3 linked regions of the Elephas maximus indicus genome follow. The protein of the gene in region 1 interacts with the protein of each later gene in a biochemical or structural test. Links are inferred from orthologs where the notes say so. Each region holds a gene or a part of one and is shown on either strand. Other genes may lie near its edges.

What was found. The genes of interacting proteins can lie anywhere in the genome.
Region 2: the proteins of BCAR1 (region 1) and PTPN1 form a complex in vitro, tested with the Homo sapiens proteins (3 studies listed by BioGRID and IntAct, with this or other methods). The link is inferred for Elephas maximus indicus from reciprocal best matches to the Homo sapiens genes BCAR1 and PTPN1.
Region 3: the proteins of BCAR1 (region 1) and PTPN12 form a complex in vitro, tested with the Homo sapiens proteins (3 studies listed by BioGRID and IntAct, with this or other methods). The link is inferred for Elephas maximus indicus from reciprocal best matches to the Homo sapiens genes BCAR1 and PTPN12.

Annotation. Positions count from the first base shown.
Region 1 is NC_064839.1:40,988,313-40,995,160, reverse strand, and holds the start of BCAR1 (breast cancer anti-estrogen resistance protein 1), read left to right. Parts: upstream 1-3,840; 5' UTR 3,841-4,016; coding exon 4,017-4,028; intron 4,029-6,848. UniProt on the Homo sapiens protein: Docking protein which plays a central coordinating role for tyrosine kinase-based signaling related to cell adhesion. Implicated in induction of cell migration and cell branching. Involved in the BCAR3-mediated inhibition of TGFB signaling.
Region 2 is NC_064843.1:19,114,430-19,121,374, reverse strand, and holds the start of PTPN1 (tyrosine-protein phosphatase non-receptor type 1), read left to right. Parts: upstream 1-3,934; 5' UTR 3,935-6,945. UniProt on the Homo sapiens protein: Tyrosine-protein phosphatase which acts as a regulator of endoplasmic reticulum unfolded protein response. Mediates dephosphorylation of EIF2AK3/PERK; inactivating the protein kinase activity of EIF2AK3/PERK.
Region 3 is NC_064826.1:47,221,560-47,228,689, forward strand, and holds the start of PTPN12 (tyrosine-protein phosphatase non-receptor type 12), read left to right. Parts: upstream 1-4,119; 5' UTR 4,120-4,155; coding exon 4,156-4,254; intron 4,255-7,130. UniProt on the Homo sapiens protein: Dephosphorylates a range of proteins, and thereby regulates cellular signaling cascades. Dephosphorylates cellular tyrosine kinases, such as ERBB2 and PTK2B/PYK2, and thereby regulates signaling via ERBB2 and PTK2B/PYK2.

The DNA of each region.
Region 1 (6,848 bases):
CTGGTCTCTGGGTATTTACACACATCCTAGAAGGCCGTGAGGTCAGAAGCGAGAGCCCTGGTTGCGAGGTGGGAGCCTAGGGTTTTGCCCTAGTTATCAATGATTTCAGTCTACATGGATCAAGAGTGAACATCCATGGAAACAGCAGTCAAGAAATCACTTAGGGGACACTGAGCTTCTGTTAAGGGTGATGGAAAAATTTGGGAAAGGTTAATGGTGGTTGCTGAACAACATGATAAACATGTCACTGAACTGTATATATGATGATTATAAAAAATATATATATATATGATTATAGAAATGGCAAATGTTTGTTACCTATGTATTTACCACAATTAAAAAAAAAAAAAGATCAAATGATGTAGTAGACAAATCTGGTGCAAAAGACCTCTTCAAAGTTTTAAAAAGCAAAGATGTCACTTTAATGACTAAGGTGCATTTGACCCAAACCATGGCCTTTTCAATAGCCTCAAATGCATGTGAAAGTTGGATAATGAAAAAGGAAGTATTGATGCATTCAAACTGTGGTGTTGGAATATACATGACTGCCAGAAGAACAAACAAATCAGACTTAGAAGTACATCCAGAATGCTCCTTAGAAGTGAGGGTGGTGAGACTTCGATTTGCTTACTTTGAACATGTCATCAGGAAAGACCAATTGCTAGAAAAGGACATCATGTTTGGTAATATAGAGGGCCAAGGAAAGTGAGGGAAACCCTCAGTGAGATGGATTTACACAGTAGCCAGCCACAACAAGACTCAAACATACCAACAATCATGAAATGGCACAGGACTGGGCAACGTTTCCTTTTGCTATACATAAGGTCTCCAGGAGCTGGAGCTGACTGGATGGCAACTAACAACATCCTGGAGGATCCTAGAACAAAAAAAAGATTATAAGGTAAAAACTAAGGAAATCTGAATAAAGGATGGGCTTTAGTTAATAACCCACCGCCATCGAGTTGATTCCAACTCATAATGACCCTATAGGACAGAATAGGACTGCCCCATAGGGTTTCTTAGGCTGTAATCTTTATGGAAGCAGACTGCCACATCTTCCTCCCGCTGAACAGCTAGTGGGTTTAAACCACCAACGTTTCGGTTAGCAGCCCAACACTTAACCACTGCATCACCAGAACTCCTTTTAGTTAACAGGAACATATCAATATTGGTTCATTAATTGTGACAAATGTATCACAGGCTCCTCTAAGATGTCCTGTTCTCTCCTGGCCAGGGGCCCCTCTGCCAGAGAAGTCCTGGGTTGTCTAGAGGGGTACAGGGTGGGACGAGGGGGGAGAAGAAGACACCTCCCAGCCCTTGGTCCCTCTAGATGATGCAAGGCCCAGGGGACAGAGGCCTGGCTTGAGTGCTAGGAGAGCTTGTCTCTGCCCCAATTTGTTCTTGTCTTAACTCCCTTTCCTCTCAGTGTCAGGAGCTACAATAACCCTACCTCCCTGGGATTGTAAGTGAGCGACTCACTGGTAAGGGCCCCTGGTCAGCCCTCAAGGACCCTCTCAGAGTGCTGGTGCCTGCTCAGCCAGCCCAGCTGTTGGTTCTGGTCTGAACAGCCTGTCTTGAGGACCCCTCTGTGGAACTGTGAGTCATTGTTTGCCTGCCTAGGATGTGTGGGAAGGGCAGGTGTACAGACACCTGGTGGGATCAGGGCAGGGTGCTCAGCACCCTAATGGGGCTCCTCTGGCCACCCGCAACTGCACACCCAAGGCCCTGGATCCCTGCCTCCAAGTATGTGAGGCTCTGGCCAGGATCCCCTCTCCCCACACTGAGGACTGAGTTAGTGACGCCCTCCCTGAGTGAGCAGCTAGCTGCTTGGGGTGGGGGTCGGGGGGCAGTTGGAGGCAAGGACTAGATGGTTTGTAGCCATGGGCAAAACTGCACCCCTCCCTTGGTTTTCCATTCCCTGTACCCAGGGGTGTCAAAGGGGTCTTTCTGAATCCCCCACCCCCTCTGGCCAGGAACACAGAGATGGGATGGGGGAGATAGGAGAGAAGAAGCCAGAAACAGTGGGTGATGAAAGACAGTAGGGAGAGGAAAGGGAGGCAGAGCCTGGATGCTGGGGAGGAAGGCTCAGTGGGGGGTCAGGGTGGCAGCCAGGCAGGCTCGTGTGGCTGGGAGCCTGGGTGCCAGGCTGAGCTGCTGCTCTCAGCTTAGGAGTCCCTGTGCCAGCTGGCACAGGTGGGTGGGCATAGGCAGGGCTGCGTGCCAGATATACACACAGAACGCCTTTGAGGAGGTGGCAGCTGTCGGCCCAGGCCCCCTTCTGCTTGCTGCAGCCCTGCCTACCCCCTCCAACAACGCCTTACTGAGCACTGGGCTGGGGAAACTGAGGAGTACATTTGGGAACCCTGACTGGAGCGGAGGGCAACCCTGCTCATTCGGAGCAGGGAGGGACCCTGGCTCATCAGTCCTAAGACCAGACCTGGCATGGTGGTGGGCCTCAGCTTCCCCCTTTCTCAATCCTCTTGTATCCCCCTCCGTGCCTGTGGCCACTATTAGGACCCTCCCCAGGATCAAGGCAGCCTCCCCACCTTGGGTGAGAAGGCTGGAAAGCCTTTTAAACCCCAGTAATGGTGGGTTTTGTGGTCCAGAGAGCTGGGGGCCAGCTCTGGGCCTCTGAGGAAGCTGCCTGCAGCCTGTCTCTGCTTTCTCCATTCAGTCATCATGGGCCTTCTGGCACTGCACACCTGGCAGACAGAACAGCCTGTCCCCCTGTGCCCATGGGTACCCGCCTCCCCACACAGATTTCCTAGGGGGCTAGAGCTCCCTGTCCACCTCCAAGCCCCCCATGAGCTGGGCTGGCTGTGGAATAGCTCTGTTTTTCCTCCTCAGTTGGGTGGGTGGTAGTACTCACCACCTGGACACTGCCGGCAGGTGCTCACTCACCTCCCCTGGTCTCCCTGTGCAGCAATGGCCATTCCTGGGGTCAGGCCTTGCTGGGCCTCCATAAGCTGCCTAGGAAGAGCCCCAAGGTCAGAGACAGGCTGCCTGTCTGGGCAGTAGAACAGGTTGACCTTTAGTAGCTGGGTAGAACAGGTCTGCCTTAAGTAGCTGAGAGACCTGGAGCGAGGTCTATTCAAGGTAACAGGGGCACAGCAAGGATCTCTGGCAGCAGGAGGAGGAATTAGGACTAATGGGCACTGGTACCTGTTTGGACACCTGTCAGATGTGGGGAGCTGAAGGAATGGGGTGGCTTGACTTGGGGAGGGAAGGCTCAGGCCTGTCTTCACAAGGAAGGGCTGGCCAGGGCGCAGGGCTGGCCTGGTTGAGGTGGGGGGAGGCGGGTGTGGGTGAGGGCTACCAAGAGACAGGACCCTCCCTAAAAGCCAGCCCAGATCTGTCGGGGTGACCGTAGGGATAGGCTAGGCTGTTCCCGGGGTTAGGGAGAGCTCCCCAAACCTGGGGGGTGGGGGCGGGGAGAAGATCAGGCGAAGGAGCCCTGCGCCAGGGTAGCTTAGGGGTTGTCCCTGAGATTCTGGGGCGCTCCCAGCCGTGGGGAGGGAGTTCTATGAACTCAGTTCGGCTGACTTGCAGCTGCCTCCAGCCTGGCAGAGCCCTCCTGGTCAGCTCCCAGACACAGGGACCGGGAGCCCGGCCAGGGCCACAGCGCCCTGGGATGCAATGCGGGGAGTGGGGGTTCTGGCCTGCAAAACCGGGTGGGTAAACAGGAGAGGTTGCTACGGGAGGTGGCCCTTAAAGAGTGGGGTAAGGTTTGGAGACCTAGGCACCTCTATGCTGCCTTGGGCCGACAGAAAAATGACTGGGGTCCGGGGTCCTCGCCTTTAACGCGGCCCGCGGCTGAGGAGACGGAGGGGGTGGGGCGGCGCGGCGGCGCATGCGCGGCTGGCGCTGCCGGACCGTCCGGCAGCCGGGAGCTTGGAGGTGCCCGCCGGGAGCCCGAAAGCCCCGGGACCCCGCGCGGGGCTCTGAGCGGGCGGGCCCATCGAGCCCCTAGCCTGCCGGCGCCGCCGTCCGCCCGGGCGCCGCGAACGGCGGCCAAGATGTCCGTGCCGGTGAGTACCGCCCGCTGCCCGCCACCCGGCTCGGCTGCCCCCGGCCCGGCCTGCGACCTCGTGCTGCCCGCTGCGGGCCCGCTGCCACGGGGGCTCTCGGACGGGGTCGCCCCACCTGGGCCTGCAACAGCTGGGGGAGGGCAGGTTGGGGGCATCTCCCCCGAGCGTCCCACTTACCTCTACCATCCCCTCCTCTCCCAGGAGGGCCAGGTCGGGCTGGGGTCCGCGCTGCCCTCTCGGGTACCCCCAGGACTGACAAGCGGGGTCCGTGCTGCCCTCCTGGAAACCGTACCCCTACGTTGGACAGCTGCCCTGCCGTCCCCCAGGGACCTCACCAGAATGGCCAGGCCTGGGGCGGGGTCTATGCCTGTCCCCGGAGACCCTTTCCCTCTCTCCCCGCCCCCCGTCGACGGCTTGGCTGGGTGGGCGTCTGCGCCTCCCCCTCCAGGACGGCTGTTGTGCTCACTTTCTCGGGAAGTTTTCCTCTGGCCACTGAGCCCCTTTCTGAGCACAGGCTCAGGCTCCTTGCTCCCTACTAGCGGTGGGCATTTTTCGTGGCCCGACAGGCCGGCCCCGGGCAGCCCCTTGGTGAATGGCTTCACACTTGGCTCGGAGCATCTTGGGTCTTCTCGGCCTCTTGTCCTGCGGGTGGCGAGTAATCCTGGAGACCCCCCCGTGACCAAACCTCAGGTACAGGCCCCAGCCCACTTTGCAGATGGACAGGCTGAGGTGGGAGGGAGATGAACCAGAGGTCCCGCTGGAAAGGGGCGCCACCCGCTAGCTGGAGATGTGGCCTCCGGCCATTGTTTCTTTGCAGGGTTAGGGGCTTTTTTCTCTGACAGGAATAGGCAGTGGGCCGCGGCTCCCAGCCTACCCTGGCCTTGTTTCTGGGACTGCCCCCCACATGAGGGCCCCCTTCTTGCCATGAAGCAGACAGTTGGGGCCTTCTGGCAGGGCAGGCTGGCCTTTTAATTAACCAGCGTAGAGTGTGTGGAGATTATTGGATGAGAGCTGCTGTGTAAGTGCAAAGCATTGTTATTATGGAATTAAAGATCCCAGCTTTACCCGCCTCCAGAAGCAGTAATGCAGAGTTACAGATGAAAAAATTAGGGCTTCCAGACTGTGCTGATGTGACCCCCCCCCCAACCCCAATCTCTTCTGGTTCAGAGCATAATTGCCTCATCTTTGAAAGAAGACAGAAAATGCCTGCCAAGCCCTTCTTCTCCCTTGCTCAGCTTTCCTGCAAAGCTCTGGGCCTTTTCCAGCCCAGGACATCAGGGAACCTCCCTGCCCCTGTAGGCACTGACCAGAGAAATAAGGTGGACCAGCTGGACCTGCTGGAGGGTCTGGGTCTTCAGGGCCAAGGGAATATGATGTGGAGAAAAAGAGGCCAAAGGTTGGGGGGGTGGGGGGGCAGGGCCACATCAGACCCTGGGCTGACCGCTATTGGGGAGGTCTACGTTTGATGTGGTTTGGTTGTCCACAGACACTGCAGAGCACTGAGAGGGGAGCCCGGGAGGGTACCCAGACCCCTTGTCTTACGTGACTCTGGATAGCCCTACTTGGCTCTGTGCCTCAGTAGCTGCATCTATAACAAGAGAGGTGTGGGCAGGTGGACCAGGGTCTGTGTGTGACTTGGACAGACAGGCATCATTGTGGAGGCAGCAGCTGAGGTCAGCTCAGTCTGTCCTCACCATCACCTGCTCCAAATCAGGTCCTCAGGTCCCACCCTCCCACCTGCAGCCACAACCCTTGGGGATTCTGTGGGAGTGGGCAGGGGTCTCACTGTCAGCCCCCTGTGTGGCTGGGCTGTCAGAGCACCCAGACTTTCTCCTGGGACCTTGGCCAGTGCCTGTGGTGGTGGGACCAGAAGGAGCAGTTCATTTCTGGAGCAGCTGTGAAATGTTCTGCAAATTGCTTTCATGTGCTGGGTAGGCCCTGCAGAAGCCTCAGGGCTGAGTCGGCCTGCTCAAGCCCTGCTCTCGGAACCCAGAATGGTGACGGCCCATGTGGGCTTATAGACACATTAGGGTTTTAAGCACACTTGTTCATTTGGGTAGTCTTTTCCTGGATGGGGCTGACACAGGCAATTTGGAACACAGAAATTACAAGATGCTTCAGAACGAGACAGGGTGGGAAGTGATGTCAGGGAGAGTAGGGGTTGTGGTGGGCCAGGTTGATCTGTGAGTGACTCTGAGTGTTAGCACAGGAGGGCGCTCTAGACATTGGTGGTCTGACCCTGTCATTTGATCCAAGCCCACACACGCAGGAGTCTGGATCCCAGAGGGGGCAAGGTACACAGGGTCTTCCTGACCCCCTACTCAGTGCTGTTTCCTCTGCCCCAAGCTGAGAGCAGTGATATCTGGCTTCCTCTTGGGCATGGCTGTGCCACCTGCCTCAGGCCTCTGGACTGGCCAGCATTGGCATGGGATCTGTGTTTAGGAGTGGCACGATGCTGGATGCTCCCTGGAACTGTCAGAGAGGCCAGTTTCCAGCTTGCAGAGAAATTCTCCTACTGTTTTCCTGCCTCCTTTCCTGTCTGTGAAATGCGTGCAGCCATTCTGCCCCTCTACTGTTCCTTTGTTGTGTGAAGGATGGAACCTGTCAAGAAGTGACGGTGCAGACGTGTGGCATGCATCCCATGTGCCAGACACTGTGCTCAGGGACAGTGTGTCTTGCCAGGGTGGCGCGGCCAATAAGAGGCAGGCACTGGGTGGGAACCAAGTCTGGCAGAACCCAAAGCCAGAAAGTGACTGTCATACCTCGTGGCCTCTCTAACTATGGGGACTGTGGCCTGTTGAGCCATCACAGAGGTCGAGG
Region 2 (6,945 bases), on another chromosome or scaffold:
GGTATGAGTGCCACTTCGACTCAAGATGGGCACTTATTTCCCTACTTAGCCCCGTGCATGGGAATTGGAATGAACCAGCCCTGTCCTCCATTCACTCTAGGAGCTCACAGTGCTGTGTGTTCCAGGTGAACTTTGTTGTTGTTGTTGGCTGCCACTGAGTCGATTTCGACTCATAGCAACTCCATATGACAGAGCAGAATTGCCCCGTAGGGTTTCCTAAACTGCAGTCTTTACAGGAGCCAGGTCTCTTCTCCCCCTGAACTGCTGGTGGGTTCTAATCTCCAACCTTTCAGTTAGCAGCCGAGCACTTAACTGTTGTACCACCAGGGTTTTCTTCCAGACAAACTATCACTCAAATTATATATGGGTGAGAGGGAAGAGTACACAGCCTGCAGAGCACTTCAACGGGCCCAGACTTGAAACAGGCAGCTTCTGAGTGTTGAGTTCCAAATGTTTCACCAGAACGGACACCTCTCGTTAACATTGCCTCTCCCCTAGAATCCTTAGTTTCTAAAGGTATTGCCTATTAAACCAATTGCATTTAAAAAAAAAAAAAAATTTTTTTTTAAACAGGAAGTGAGTGAATTTTTATTGAGTAAATTGCTCAATAAAAATTCACTTACTTCCTGTTTGTTATTATTTGAAGGTATATAATAATAATATCGAATTAAAAATGGATTGGCAGAAGGATGAACAAACCTATCTTGGAAGAAGTACAGCCAGAATGCTCATTAGAAGCAAGAACGGCGAGACTTCATCTCACAAACACTGGACACGTTGCCAGGAGGGACCAATCCCCGGAGAAGGACATCATGCTTGGTAAAGTAGAAGTCAGCGAAAAAGTGGAAGACCCTCAAGGAAATGGATTGACACAGTGGCTGCAACAATGGGCTCCAAAATAACGATTGTGAGGATGGCGCAGGACTGGACAGTGTTTCATTCTGTTGTATATACGGTCGCTATGAGTCAGAACTGACTCGACAGGACTTAACAACAACAACGATAATGATAAACCAAAAATCCACTGCCATCGAGTCGATTTCGACTCACAGTGACCCTATAGGACAGAGTAGAACTGCCCCATAGAGTTTCCAAGGCTGTAATGTTTACGGGAGCAGACTGCTGTGTCTTTCTCCCATGGAGCAGCTGGTGGGTTCTAACTGCCGACCTTTTGGTTAGCAGCCGAATGCTTTAACCACTAACCACCAGGGCTCCTTGAAATAAACCATAGCTAATATTTATTCCCATGAGAATGGGAATTCCAGAACACTTAATTGTGCTCATGAGGAACCTTTACATAGATCAAGAGGCAGTTGTTTGGACAGAACAAGGGGATACTGATTGGTTTAAAGTCAGGAAAGGTGTGCATCAGGGTTGTATTCTTTCACCATACCTATTCAATCTGTATGCTGAGCAGATAACACAAGAAGCTGGACTATATGAAGAAGAACGGGGCATCAGGATTGGAAGAAGACTCATTAATAACCTGTGATATGCAGATGATACAACCTTGCTTGCTGTAAGTAAAGAAGACTTGAAGCATTTACTAATGAAGATCAAAGACCACAGCCTTCAGTATGGGTTGCACCTCAACACAAAGAAAACAAAAATCCTCACAACTGGACCAATGAGCAACATCATGATAAACGGAGAAAAGATTGAAGTTGTCAAGGATTTCATTTTACTTGGATCCACAATCAATAGCCATGGAAACAGCAGTCAAGAAATCAAAAGACGCATTGCATCACGTAAATCTGCTGCAAAGGACCTCTTTAAAGTGTTGAAGAGCAAAGATGTCACCTTGAAGACTAAGGTGCGCCTGACCCAAGCCATGGTATTTTCAATCACATCATATGCATGTGAAAGCTGGACAATGAATAAGGAAGACTGAAGGAGAATTGATGCCTTTGAATTGTGGTGTTGGCAAAGAATATTGAATATACCTTGGACTGCCAAAAGAACGAACAAATCTGTCTTAGAAGAAGTACAACCAGAATGCTCCCTAGAAGCAAGGATGGCGAGACTGTGTCTTACATACTTTGGACATGTCAGGAGGGATCAGTCCCTGGAGAAAGACATCATGCTCAGCAAAGTACAGGATTAGGGGAAAAAGAGGAAGACCCTCAACGAGGTAGATTGACACAGTGGCTGCAACAATGAGCTCAAGCATAGCAACAACTGTAAGGATGGCTCAGGAGCAGGCAGTGTTTCGTTTTGTTGTGCATAGGGTCGCTATGAGTTGGAAGCAACTTGACGGTACCTAACAACAACAACAATATTTATTAAGCCACTCACTATACTAAAAGGATTACATGTAGTAACTCATTCATTCCTCACACCCCCCTTCTGAGCCAGGTACTTTTATTACCCGCATTCTATAAAGGAGGCACAGAGAGTTTAGGTAATTTGCCCAAGACTGCATAGTTATTTAGCAGAGCTGGGATGGGGGCCCAGGCAGCCTCGCTCCAAAGTCTGTACCACTCTGGAGACTGGGTTAGAATCCTGTCTTCCATACCAATGAGCAGTGCTACTCTGGAGAAGTGATTTTGCCTCAGAGTCCTCAACTGTAAAGTGGGAATAACAATAGTGACAATTTTGTAGTGTTGTTGGAGGGGGCTGTTAAATGAGAATGTGCACTTGGAATACCAGGCACAGTGCCTGCCACAAGCACTCAAGGAATGAGTTGGAATTCAACCAAGAATTCCAGGTAGCCACCCTGGGAGGCCTGGCATGGGAACAGTAAGAGAGATGATTTGATGCTCTGGGTTCTCTGCCCTCATGGAGTTCATAGGCTTCGCAGAAGATGCCACGCTGGAGCTGGATGATTTAAATCAGAGTCCACAGAAAGGCAACCTGACCAGCCTTCCTTCCTGTGTGCCCCAAGGACCACAGGCATAAGAATTCCCGGGGCAGGGGGGAAGGGGGACAGTAAACAATACAGATTCCTGGGCCTCACCTCCGTACCAAAGGTATCCAATCCTTTGGAGGTGGTCCCAGAAATCCGCATCGTTCAACACACTTCCCAGGTGATTTTAATGCATCATGGAATTGGAGCTCCACCAAATCCAGGCTGAGCAGGGTCAATGTAGGCTTTCTTTGATTCTCTGGGAAATATTGAAAATCATTCTAGGACCCCCCTTCTGATGGGCCCAGGGTAGAAGACCCTAAAGGGAAAATACGGATTTCAAACAGGAACTCTTGCCTCTAGGGAGTAATGGCTCTTCCCAGGCAGCCCAGCGGATCATGAAACTCTCCTGTTTCGTTAAAATCGGCGGGCCTCCTCTGGCCAGAGCCGGGAGACGGTGAACGGGGCTTGCAGTCTTCCGTCGGTGCTCTAGCTGGGAGTACTGAGTCCAGGACCCTGGCGCTGCAAGAAGGATGCGTGACTATTTCAAGGTCACTCTGTAACTCAGGAGGCCAAGCCGAGGTTTGAATTCAAGACCCACCCCAGGCCTTGCCAACCCTCGTACCGTGGGCTCGGTGCCCTGGGGTCGCCTAGGCAACGGGCGCGCGCCACGCCCGAGCCCGGACCCCCGGAGAGGCGGGGGAACCTGCGCGCTGCCCAACGTCTCGCGGGGCTGAGGCCACTTCCCCCGGCACCTCCTCCGGACTCCGCCCCGCGGAAGTGCTTGCCCTCATCCTCGAGCGCGGATTGGCCCTCCGGCTTAGGGGGCGGGGCTCTCGGCAGGCGCGGTGCGTACTTCCGGCTGCCGGGTTGACATGAAGAAGCAGCGGCGGCTGGGGCGGCGGTAGCGGCGAGAGTCGAGGCTTGCAGTGGAACTCAAAGCTAAGATCGCGACGCGGCCTGAGGCGGCAGACGTCGCAGTGGGCCGAGGAGGAGACGCAACAGCCGCCCTGGCCCGTCATGGAGATGGAAAAGGAGTTCGAGCAGATCGACAGGGCTGGTAGCTGGGCGGCCATTTACCAGGTGCGGGAGCGCCCCCGAGCGCGACAGGCTCTTTGCTTAGGCCGCGGGAACCCTCCTCGGAACACCGGGCCCCGTTCTCCCTCTGCGTCCTGCCCTCCGTCTCGGCCCTGCTGCCTGAGGATTCGATCCGACAGCGGCAGAGGCCGCCCCCCTCTCTCTTTGTCCCCCGGGTGGGCCTGCGTCTCGCTCGGGCCTCGCAGCCTCCTGAGATCCCCCACCTACCTCATATCCTCTAGCCCGGGTGACCTCTTAAGCCTGGAGGCCGCCCATCTAGACTCTTCGCGCGAATCCTTCGCACCGCGACCCCGCCCCCCTGCCTACCCACTCTTTGTCCCCTGGGGTGGATTTAACACCCCCACGACTTCCTTTTCTAGACGGGACCACCTCAGACTCTCTTCCTTTGTCTCCCGGGGGAAAGGGTTTCGCCCCCTCCCCCCTCACATTTCCTTTCCTCTGGTCTCAGTGTCCGTCGAGTCCAAGGATGACAGAGCCCCTTTCCCCCTTCCTGCTCATTCATTTAGTGTCTGTAAAGTGATGCGCCTATTCCGTGCTAGCCACCGCTATAGGCGCTGGAGAGTGTTGAACAAGACAGGTAAAGCCTTATCCCTGTGGAGCTTAGAGTCGAATAGGGCAGTCAGACATACGCAGATGATTTCGGATGGTAACAAAAGATGTGAGGAAAACAAAACATAATGGGGTAGGGCGCCTCCAGATGAAAGGTGGACTACCTTAGTGAGAGAGAGCAGGGACTGTCTGTCAGAAGAAGAGACATTTGCTTTGTGGGCTGAATGAAGAGTCACAGCAGGCTATGAGTGTATCAGGCTAAAGAGCTTTCCAGCCAGGAGGTCTGCAGTCACCATTCCATCAGGGCCAAAACAGTGCCTTTTCAAGCAGGGGCTAGGGAAGGTTAAGGCTTTACTCTCAGTAGCATCTTTCCTCAACGGGCAGCCCATCCTTGGTTCAGAGCTGAGACGAACTGTCTTCCGAGACCTCGGGTGGGTTACGGTGGTTCGTAAGCAAAAAGTTAGCAAGGTAGGGTTTGTCACCTATCTCTAAAGCGTCAGATTAAAAATACGAAGAGGTCTGCTTTCACAACCAGTTAAATCCTCTAAAGAAAATACACATTCCCCATTAAATGTCATTGCGGGGGTTGTGAGGATTAACCAAAACCACACTTGGTATCTTGAATAAGCAACGTGCAGAATAGAGAGATTTTGTTACTTGTGTAAAGAGGGAAGGCAGTTTTTTCTGTTTTCAGCTTGAGCTCAAAAGGCAAATTGTGGTGTCCATCAGCTGGTCTTATTAAAATCTATTTTGAGCTCCTCTTAAAAAGGAGAAACAGCATTAAGCAGCTCTTTGGTGAGCTTGACTGACGAAAGCCTGTTTTTGGCAGCCTTGTTTTCATGTGGATTTGCATTAAGCTTCTTTGACAGGACTCTTTTTACTTGGACTGTGATGTATATTATCTTCTGATAGACTGTAATATTTATAATGTTGCCAGACCACTGTAATCTGTATAAATATGATGGATCAATATAAAAGTTTGTATTCCGTGCCTAGTCTCTGTAGGCTAATGGAATGAGTGCCACTGGTGACTTTGAGAATGTGTGGACACATTATCTACATCAAATTTAATGCAACAGAGTCTAAAATGGCTTTAAAGGAAAATTGTTGCTCTGAAGTGTCGGAATTGACTACAACATACTCCATCACAATTGCAGGCTTTGGAGAAAAAATCTTTTGTACTGAAACTGACTCAACTGCAAATTTATATTGTAGATAAGTTCTTGGTTGAATCCGATTTCTTACTGTTTTAGGTGCGGGTAGTCTGACCTGTCACCTAAGCGTTGTTGAAATTATATTAAGCAAGCTGCTAGCATGAAGCATGTTGGTCTTCAACTAATTTCCTTCATTGTTCTTAAGTTTCTGTATCACATTTGAACTACAAGAGTTAGTCAAGATTGCTTTATCTTGAGATTTCCCCAGCTTCTTAATAGATTGCCACATTACTGGAGGTGGTTTCTTCTGACCTTAAGGAAATATCCACTGTGGCCTTTTCTTACCTCTTACCATGCAGATATTCTAAAATTGAAGTCAGAGGCTCTTCCCCTTACTAAGTTTGTAAGTTGCTCTTTTTTGTACAATTGTAGCATTTTTTTAAATGTGGAGTTCAAATGACCTTGAGTGTTAAGTGGCAGATTTTCCAAGTTGTGTGTCAGTTTACCGGAACCATTATTTTCCAAGAATTAAAAGCAGTGTGCTTATGGTTGGTAGAAAATGAGTTTAAAAAAATTAATGTTGTATATAGCATGGAAAAATGAGGGTAGCCTTAGAGTCATATATTGACCTCACTTACTCTTTTGTGACTAGAAAGATAACATGTAATTTTTGCTTAAAACTTTGCTATAAGGTAGCACAGTCATCTTTCACTATCCTAACCTTTTTTCTAACTAGTACAAAAAAAAAAAAGCAAGAACTTGGGAAAAGAATAAAGGGCGAAGTGGGCTTTTTGAGTGCCGAGGAATGTGGCAGCTTAGAAAACAAATGTTCCAGGCAAAGATTCTATGCTAGCTCAGTCTGATAGAGAGCGTAGACGGGTTTGTAATCTTCAATGCTAATAATAGCACAGATACTAATAAGCATTTGGTGCTATAAAAAGTCAGCTTTGATAGCATCATTTAGATAGCTTTAAAAATTGTTTTCTAGCATTTAAGCACTTTGGTGTGAAAAGTGGAAGTACTGCTTGGCAGGTCTCAAGTTTGAGTTGGCTTGGCTGTCCAAAAGAGGAGAGGCACAGATATAAAAAAGGATCAGTTTTAGAAGCTGGAAGGAGAGAAGAGAGGGCTTGAATGATGACAAGAATATGATACGCCACCCTCCATCTGTGGTTTAAGAGAGCTTGGATCAGGTGTTTTTGAATTCTTTGATTCTCTGACACTGGTCACTCTCTTTCAGTGTCAATGGTTTCATTGTTTCAGATGAAGGAGATGGCAACAATAGCCCTGGACTTGCAGGCA
Region 3 (7,130 bases), on another chromosome or scaffold:
ATCTTCCCCTGCTCGGGGAGCTTCTCAGATGTAGGGACCCTGGGTCCAAAGGACGTGTTCTGCTCCAGGTGCCACTTTCTTAGTGGTATGGGGTCCCTGTTCTCTGCTTGCTTCCCTTTCCTTTTATCTCTTGAGAGATAAAAGGTGGTACAGGCCACACCCCAGAGAAACTCCCTTTACACTGGATCAGGGATGTGACCTGGGTAAGGGTGGTGTTACGATCCCACCCTAATCCTTTTTAACATAAAATTACAACCACATAATGGAGGACTACTATGAAATACTGGGTATTGTGGCCTAACCAAGTTGACAAATATTTTTGAGGGGACACAATTCAATCTATGGCATCAAGAAACAGTCAAGTGTTTTGAGAAAGAAAGAGAAACTTGCCAATAAGAGGTAAACTAAACATTGAGAAGCAAGAGCACTAGGCAAAATGGCACTCAATTCCTCTGACAAGTAACACTTCCCAGGAGACTATTAGTAGACTGTTATACAACTTGTCCAGCATAACTAGTTCTTTATCAATCACTATCTAGTTTGTACATTCTTTTGACATCAGAAGTGGAGGCACTCCTAATCACCTACCAATTGCTTTGCCTACTGTCTCATTTCTCTCCTACTGTTGGGAGGAAAGGGGCATCTATACTGGATTATACTGGGAGACGATCAAGCCAGATCCTGACGTTTCCCTATGCCCAGTGTGAAACTGAGTCTCAGTATCTGACTAAAGTAAAATATTCCAGACCCATACTTCAAATGAAGTTTACCTTAGAAATTAAATTACTCCTCTAACTAAGGTGCCCCTGACCCAAGCCATGGTATTTTCAATCGCATCATATGCATGTGAAAGCTGGACAATGAATAAGAAAGACTGAAGAAGAATTGATGCGTTTGAATTGTGGTGCTGGTGAAGAATATTGAATATACCATGCACTTCCAGAAGAATGAATAAATCTGTCTTGGAAGAAGTACAACTAGAATGCTCCTTAGAAGCAAGGATGGCGAGACTGCGTCTTACATACTTTGGATATGTTGTCAGGAGGGATCAGTCCCTGGAGAAGGACATCATGCTTGGCAAAGTGCAGGGTCAGCAGAAAAGAGAAAGACCCTCAACAAGGTGGACTGACACAGTGGCTGCAACAATGAGCTCAAGCATAACAACGGCTGTAAGGATGGTGCAGGACCGGGCAGTGTTTCGTTCTGTTGTGTGTGGGGTCGCTATGAGTCAGAACTGACTCGGTGGCACCTAACAACAACAAGTAAATTTTTAAAACACAGAACAAAAATATATCCTTTTAACATGCACATACATGCAAAGGAACCCTAGTGGCAAAGTGGGCAAGAGCTCAGGGAGCTAACCAAAAGATCGGCAGTTTGAATCCACCAGCTGCTCTTCGGAAACTCTTTGGGGGTAGTTCTACTCTGTCCTATAGGGTTGCTATGAGTTGAAATCCACTCCGTGTAAATGTGTTTTTTTTTTTTTGGTATACAAGCATATAAATGCATAGAAAGATTTGGAAGAGCACACCTGGAAGTGCATACTTCCGGGGAGGGGAGTGGATTGAGGGAATACTCATTTTACGTATTAGTTATATTACTTAAAGAATGACATTTTTCTTTTTAAAAAGAGGAACAAGATTGTATGATGTTACTCACACCTATCTTCTTCAAGGAGTTTCTCATTAAATTCCATGGTGCCCCTAAACATTCATCTGGGAAAAGTGGCTTACCACTGATACTTCATATTAATCAGATCCTCTCACCAATCTGATTTGGAAAGAATGCTTGAGAATATGTGGCCAAAATATGTCCACAGATCAAATCCTTCACTTCTGTCAATTACAGGTTTACATTCCTCATTGAAAGGCAATAAAAGACAAACAAACAAACAAAACACCAAACCAAACCGTTGCTCTCCAGTAGATTCCAACTTAAAGTGACCCTATAGGACAGAGAACTGCCCCATAGAGATTCCAAGAAGCACCTAGTGGATGTGAACTGCCAACCTTTTGGTTAGCAGCCTAGCACTTAACCACTACACCAACAGGGTTTCCAAAGTGTTAATTCCTTTTAACCCCATAGCTCAAGGACTATATGGACTGTAGTTTTTATTCTCAAGGTTATTCTTTTTTTTTTTTTTTTGGCCGTAGAGATGGTTCCAACTCATAGCGACCCTATAGAATAGAGTAGAACTGCCCCACAGGATTTCCAAGGCCGTGATCTTTAAGGAAGTAGGCTGCCACATCTTTCTCCCCCAGAATGGTTGGACAGTTTGAACCATCAACCTTTCGGCTAGCACCCCAGCACTTAACTACTGTGCCACGAAGGCCCCTTGAAAGGCAATAGGAAACCCTGGTGGCATAGTGGTTAAGAGCTAGCGCTGCTAACCAAAAGGTCAGCAGTTTTTATCCACCAGGCGCTCCTTGGAAACTCCATAGGGCAGCTCTATTCTATCTGACAGGGTCGCTAGGAGTCAGAATCGACTTGACGCAACGGGAAGGGCAATAGGCATCATAAAAAAAGAAAAAAAAAAAAACAACAAAAACGTTGCTGTGGAGTCGATTTCCACTCATCAAATCCAAAACCCAGTGCCATCGAGTCGATTCCGACTCATAGCGACCCTATAGGACAGAGTAGAACTGCCCCATAGAGTTTCATAGCGAACCTATAAGACGGAGTAAAACTCCCTCATAGTGTTTCCAAGGAGAGGCTGATGGATTCGACCTGCTGACCTTTTGGTCAGCAGCGGAGCGCTTAACCACTGCGGCACCAGGTGTACATAGTGAAAGCAAAAGGACTTGAGTTCTAGTTCTGACTGTGCTTAAAAAACTGCAGGGGAACTTGAGCAAATCATTTTTACTTGTAAAATGGAGAATTAGAGCAGAACGGATAGACTCTTACTACTAGACGATTTATTTAAGGTCCATCCTACGGAGAAGAGCTATTCAATTTCGAAGTGCTGCGAATTTAAAAGCAAGATTACAAGTTTCCTTCAATTTAACGAACACAGGGTCCCTACTATATGTGTGGTATGTATCAGGACACACTACAAATCTCAGGCGCTCACTCGACAGCGTTTAGATGCAATTGCAAACAGCAAAAGTCCTTTCACCTAAGAAACGTTTAGCTTCCCTCAGCGGTAGCAATCCCCCAAAGTCCTAAATTTTAATTGCAGTCAATTCCCACCAAGCCATTAGTAGGATGAGAACACACCTGCTGTGAACGCGGAGATGACACTACTACAGTTCCCAGATGCCTCTCTTCCCACCACCGCCCTCCCCGCCCCCACTCCTGGACTCCGCGGGCGGGACTTGTAGTCCCGGGCCCGGGCTGGCGACGGCGCTGAAGCGCTCTTGAAATCTGCCTTCTGCCCGCGAGCTGACGATAAGATCGCAAGTTCCATTAAACTCCTACTCCGATCAACTAAGGTCTGCCCAGTTCAAAGTCGAATTCCCTACTCCAGGGGAATCAACTTTACCCTAGCTCTCCTCAGACCTACAACCTACCGGGGCCAGATCACGCCCCGGAAGTGGAGTCGGGCCCACCAGCGCTTTCCAACCACTCCAAGCAGGGCCTAGCCGGCAGGCAGGCTTGGGGGCGTGGCCTTGGAAGAGGGGTGGGCGGGGGCGGATGGGCGCGGCGTAGCGTTTTGGGCGGAGCCGCGGCGCGGGGCCGCGCGTCTGGGTGGCGGCGGGGGCGCGCCCGTGGGGAGAGGCGGCTGCGGCTGCTAGTGGGAGGGCCCGTGGGGGGGGAGGAGGAACCCGGGACGGGGTCGGGGGGCAGGGCGAGCAGAGAGCCGGGTTCCTGAGGCGGTGGTGGAGTCTCCAACAGAGGAGGAGGGCGGGGAAGGAGGATGGAGCAAGCTGGGGGTTGGGGCTGGCGCTAGCCGCTGCGGCTCGCCTCGTACAGTGGGAGAGCGGCGGCTGCTCCTGGAAGTTGTAGCGTCGGGAGCCGGGCCGGTGCTGTTGCTGCCGCCGCCTTGGGCGGTGGGGAGGAGGAGAAAGAGGAGGAGAGAACGACCGGGGTTGGCGGGGGTCGGAAGGGAGGGGACGGACAAGGGGGAGCGAGCTGGGGAAGACGGAGCGGGCTCTGCGCCGGGCAGGCGGGCGTCGGCGGGGGGGCCAGCGACCGCAGCCGGGGGGACGCGGGAGGATGGAGCAAGTGGAGATCCTGAGGAAATTCATCCAGAGGGTCCAGGCCATGAAGAGTCCGGACCACAATGGGGAGGACAACTTCGCCCGGGACTTCATGGTGAGTGCCTGCCCTCGCTGTCGCTTCCTTTCGCCGGCACTGGAGCCCATCGCCGCCTCGCCCGGCTGGCCCAGGCAGCCAGCGCTTTGTGTACGGCTGTGAGGAGAGGGGCGGAGGGGGAGCGCAGCGACCCCGGGGCCCGGTGGGCTCGGAGGCCGGTGGAAGGTGAGACCGTCTCCGCCCCTCGGCCCTCTTTTCCCTCCTCCGGCGTTCGCGGCCCCTTCTGCGGGCTCCCGGGACAACAAGGGAGCGGCCGCTGGGCCGAGCCAGCACCCGGTACCGCCGCCCGCGACCACCTATTGTTTCTCGGCCTGGAGCTGGAGGCGAGTGAGGTGCTGGTCGGGGGACAGGAGGAGCCTCACCTTTCCACACCTCACCACCTATCCTGCCCCTCCCGGGAGGGTCGAGGCAGGGTATCTGGCTGTGCCCAGGGGGGAGCGGATCGCGGCTGACAGAGGAACGGGCGTGTGAGATTGGCATTAACTCGTGGGGGCCCTTTGCCCAAGCTGGTCTCATAAGTGGGCAGGGTAGGAGTTCTGTCGTTTCTCGGTTCCCAGTTATTATCTCCAATGCTTGGGAAAGCGTTGTCCAAAGGAAGCTCTTGGTTTGTCTTATTTCCATTTACCCTCATCCCGTCTCTTCTCTCCTGAGACACAGGTTTGAGGTAGTCTTAGGGTCAGCGCGACTTTAGGTTGAAGGGGAACTGTGTGTGTGTGTGTGTGTGTATGCGTGTGTGGTTATCCTGAAGGAAGCCTACTTCGAACTCCCTAGGGGATATTGCCGAAGGCGGAGGGGATATGACTATCACTTCCTATCCGGGGTGGGGGTGGGGAACTTGGGAACAATAGTCCTGGTGGGGCGGAGGCGAAGATCCGGGCCGAAGCCCTGAACTGGGAGATAACCTTCCCAGTCACCACCCCCCCTCCCCTTCCGCCCACTGCTTTTGCAGGCTGGCTCGGGAGGAGGTGAGGGTTTAAAGTCTTATCCGTGAAATTGCTCTAGATACATCACGATGAGGGGGTCAGATCTGAAGGCGTGGGACCAGAAGTCGACTTCCTACATTACACCCCCCCCACCCTCTTATTTTTCAGCCGGACAATGTCCCCTCTAGGGTTGTTTCCCGGCTTGGGAGGCGGTGGTTGCGGTGGCTGCTCTTACGGATATTGCGCAACACTGGGGCGTTGGAAAACCCTGGAGGTCTGGGGAATGGAAAAGGAAGTAGGACTTTGGGAAGTGGTTGCTCTTTGGCCTTGGCGGGGGTTGGAAATGGGAAATAAGCTAGGAAGAATTTTGGTCCTGGGCAAGGTGCTCTTCCAAGGATAAACACTTAGCTCCGAAATTCGGTTATAAAGAAAATATAGAGCTAATGTTTATAAAAATGAATGGGCAGCAAACGTTGGCTACGTTTTGTTTCAAAGTACAGTAGTTGTTTTCAGGGTGCAGGTGAAGGGACTTTTAGTACCGAAATGCTTTTTTCAATTTTAAGGAGACCTTGGGCTAGTAAAGCTTCAGTGTTAAAATTGTTAACAGCTTATAAAGGGCTTACACAACATGGTAGTATTGTAGAGCTTTGTGATTCCCGCTTCCCCAAACCAATAACAGAAGATAGAAGTTTTGTTACTTATCTTTTGAAGACTGGAAAACCTAGATTAAATGGTGTAATTATTTCTTGTCTTAAACATTTTTCTCTTGATATTTAGCCTTTGTACTTTTGAAAAATTACTTTTTGATCTGAAAAGAGTAAAGAAAAGGAGGGGACATTTTTCCTTTGTACTATTGAGAATTTTGAATGTGTTGGTGTCTTTTGAATGGAATCATTTACAATAATTGCATGTAGTCCCTTTTTTACTACACTCTAGCAAAAATAGAAGAAAATATTTACTTTGTATATTTTAAATATCTAAAATTAGTCTTTTAAAGTCTTATTTTGGTTATCAAGAAGAAATGGTGTGGTCCCTGGCCACTTATATGCATACTAGTCATTGAGTTATCCCTAGGCATATCCTGTCAGGAAAGGGCATTGTTTAGTGATACAGGCCATCAGGACAGGTGCCCTGTCTGTGAACTTCTGTGCAGGGGAAATAGCCTTAGGGTTTATGCTTTGGAGTTGAGTCAGGGATGCTTATTGGAGATTTCATTTCTCAAGTACTAAATTAGTTTCTTTTTTCATCCATAATACCTAGGGAGAGCTAGGTGATTCTACATTCAAGGTTTGATGACTAAGGCTATTCTTACATAGTGCTTGCCTTTTCTGTTTCCTGACTTGATAAGGAACAGCTATAATTAAGGTTGCTGGTAGTTGGCTGCTGAAAGCAGGAGAGGAAATCTCCCAAACTATGTTCCTCTGTCATTGAGGGAAAATAGAGGATCAGTTGATAGAATTTAGATTCTAACTGTTCTGCTGTTATTCTTAAATTCTGATGCAGAGTCAAATGCATTTTTAAGTTTTGACATTTCAGAACTGAAAGAGACCTTAGAGATATTCTATTATAACCCAATTCCACTATAAATTAATAATGCTTGTTATTTCAAATTTGAAAATTACATAATAATAATAACGTCCTACACTTAAGAGTCCTGATGATGCAGTGGTTAAGAGCTTGGCTGCTAACCAAAAGGCCAGCAGTTCAAATCCACCAGCTAGCTGTTCTTGGCTATCCCGTGGTACAGTTCTGCCCTGTCCTATAGGGTCACTCTGAGTTGGAATGACTCGACGGCAATGGGTTTGTTTGTTTTTTGGTACACTTAGGAAGGTGAAGTTGGCATTCAAACTCAGGTGTCACTCTACAGTGTTCTTGCCATTATTCTTCCCAAACTTCCTATAGTTCCATCACCTGAAGATTACTTCTGTTCATGTTTTTAATGTTATAGGGTCA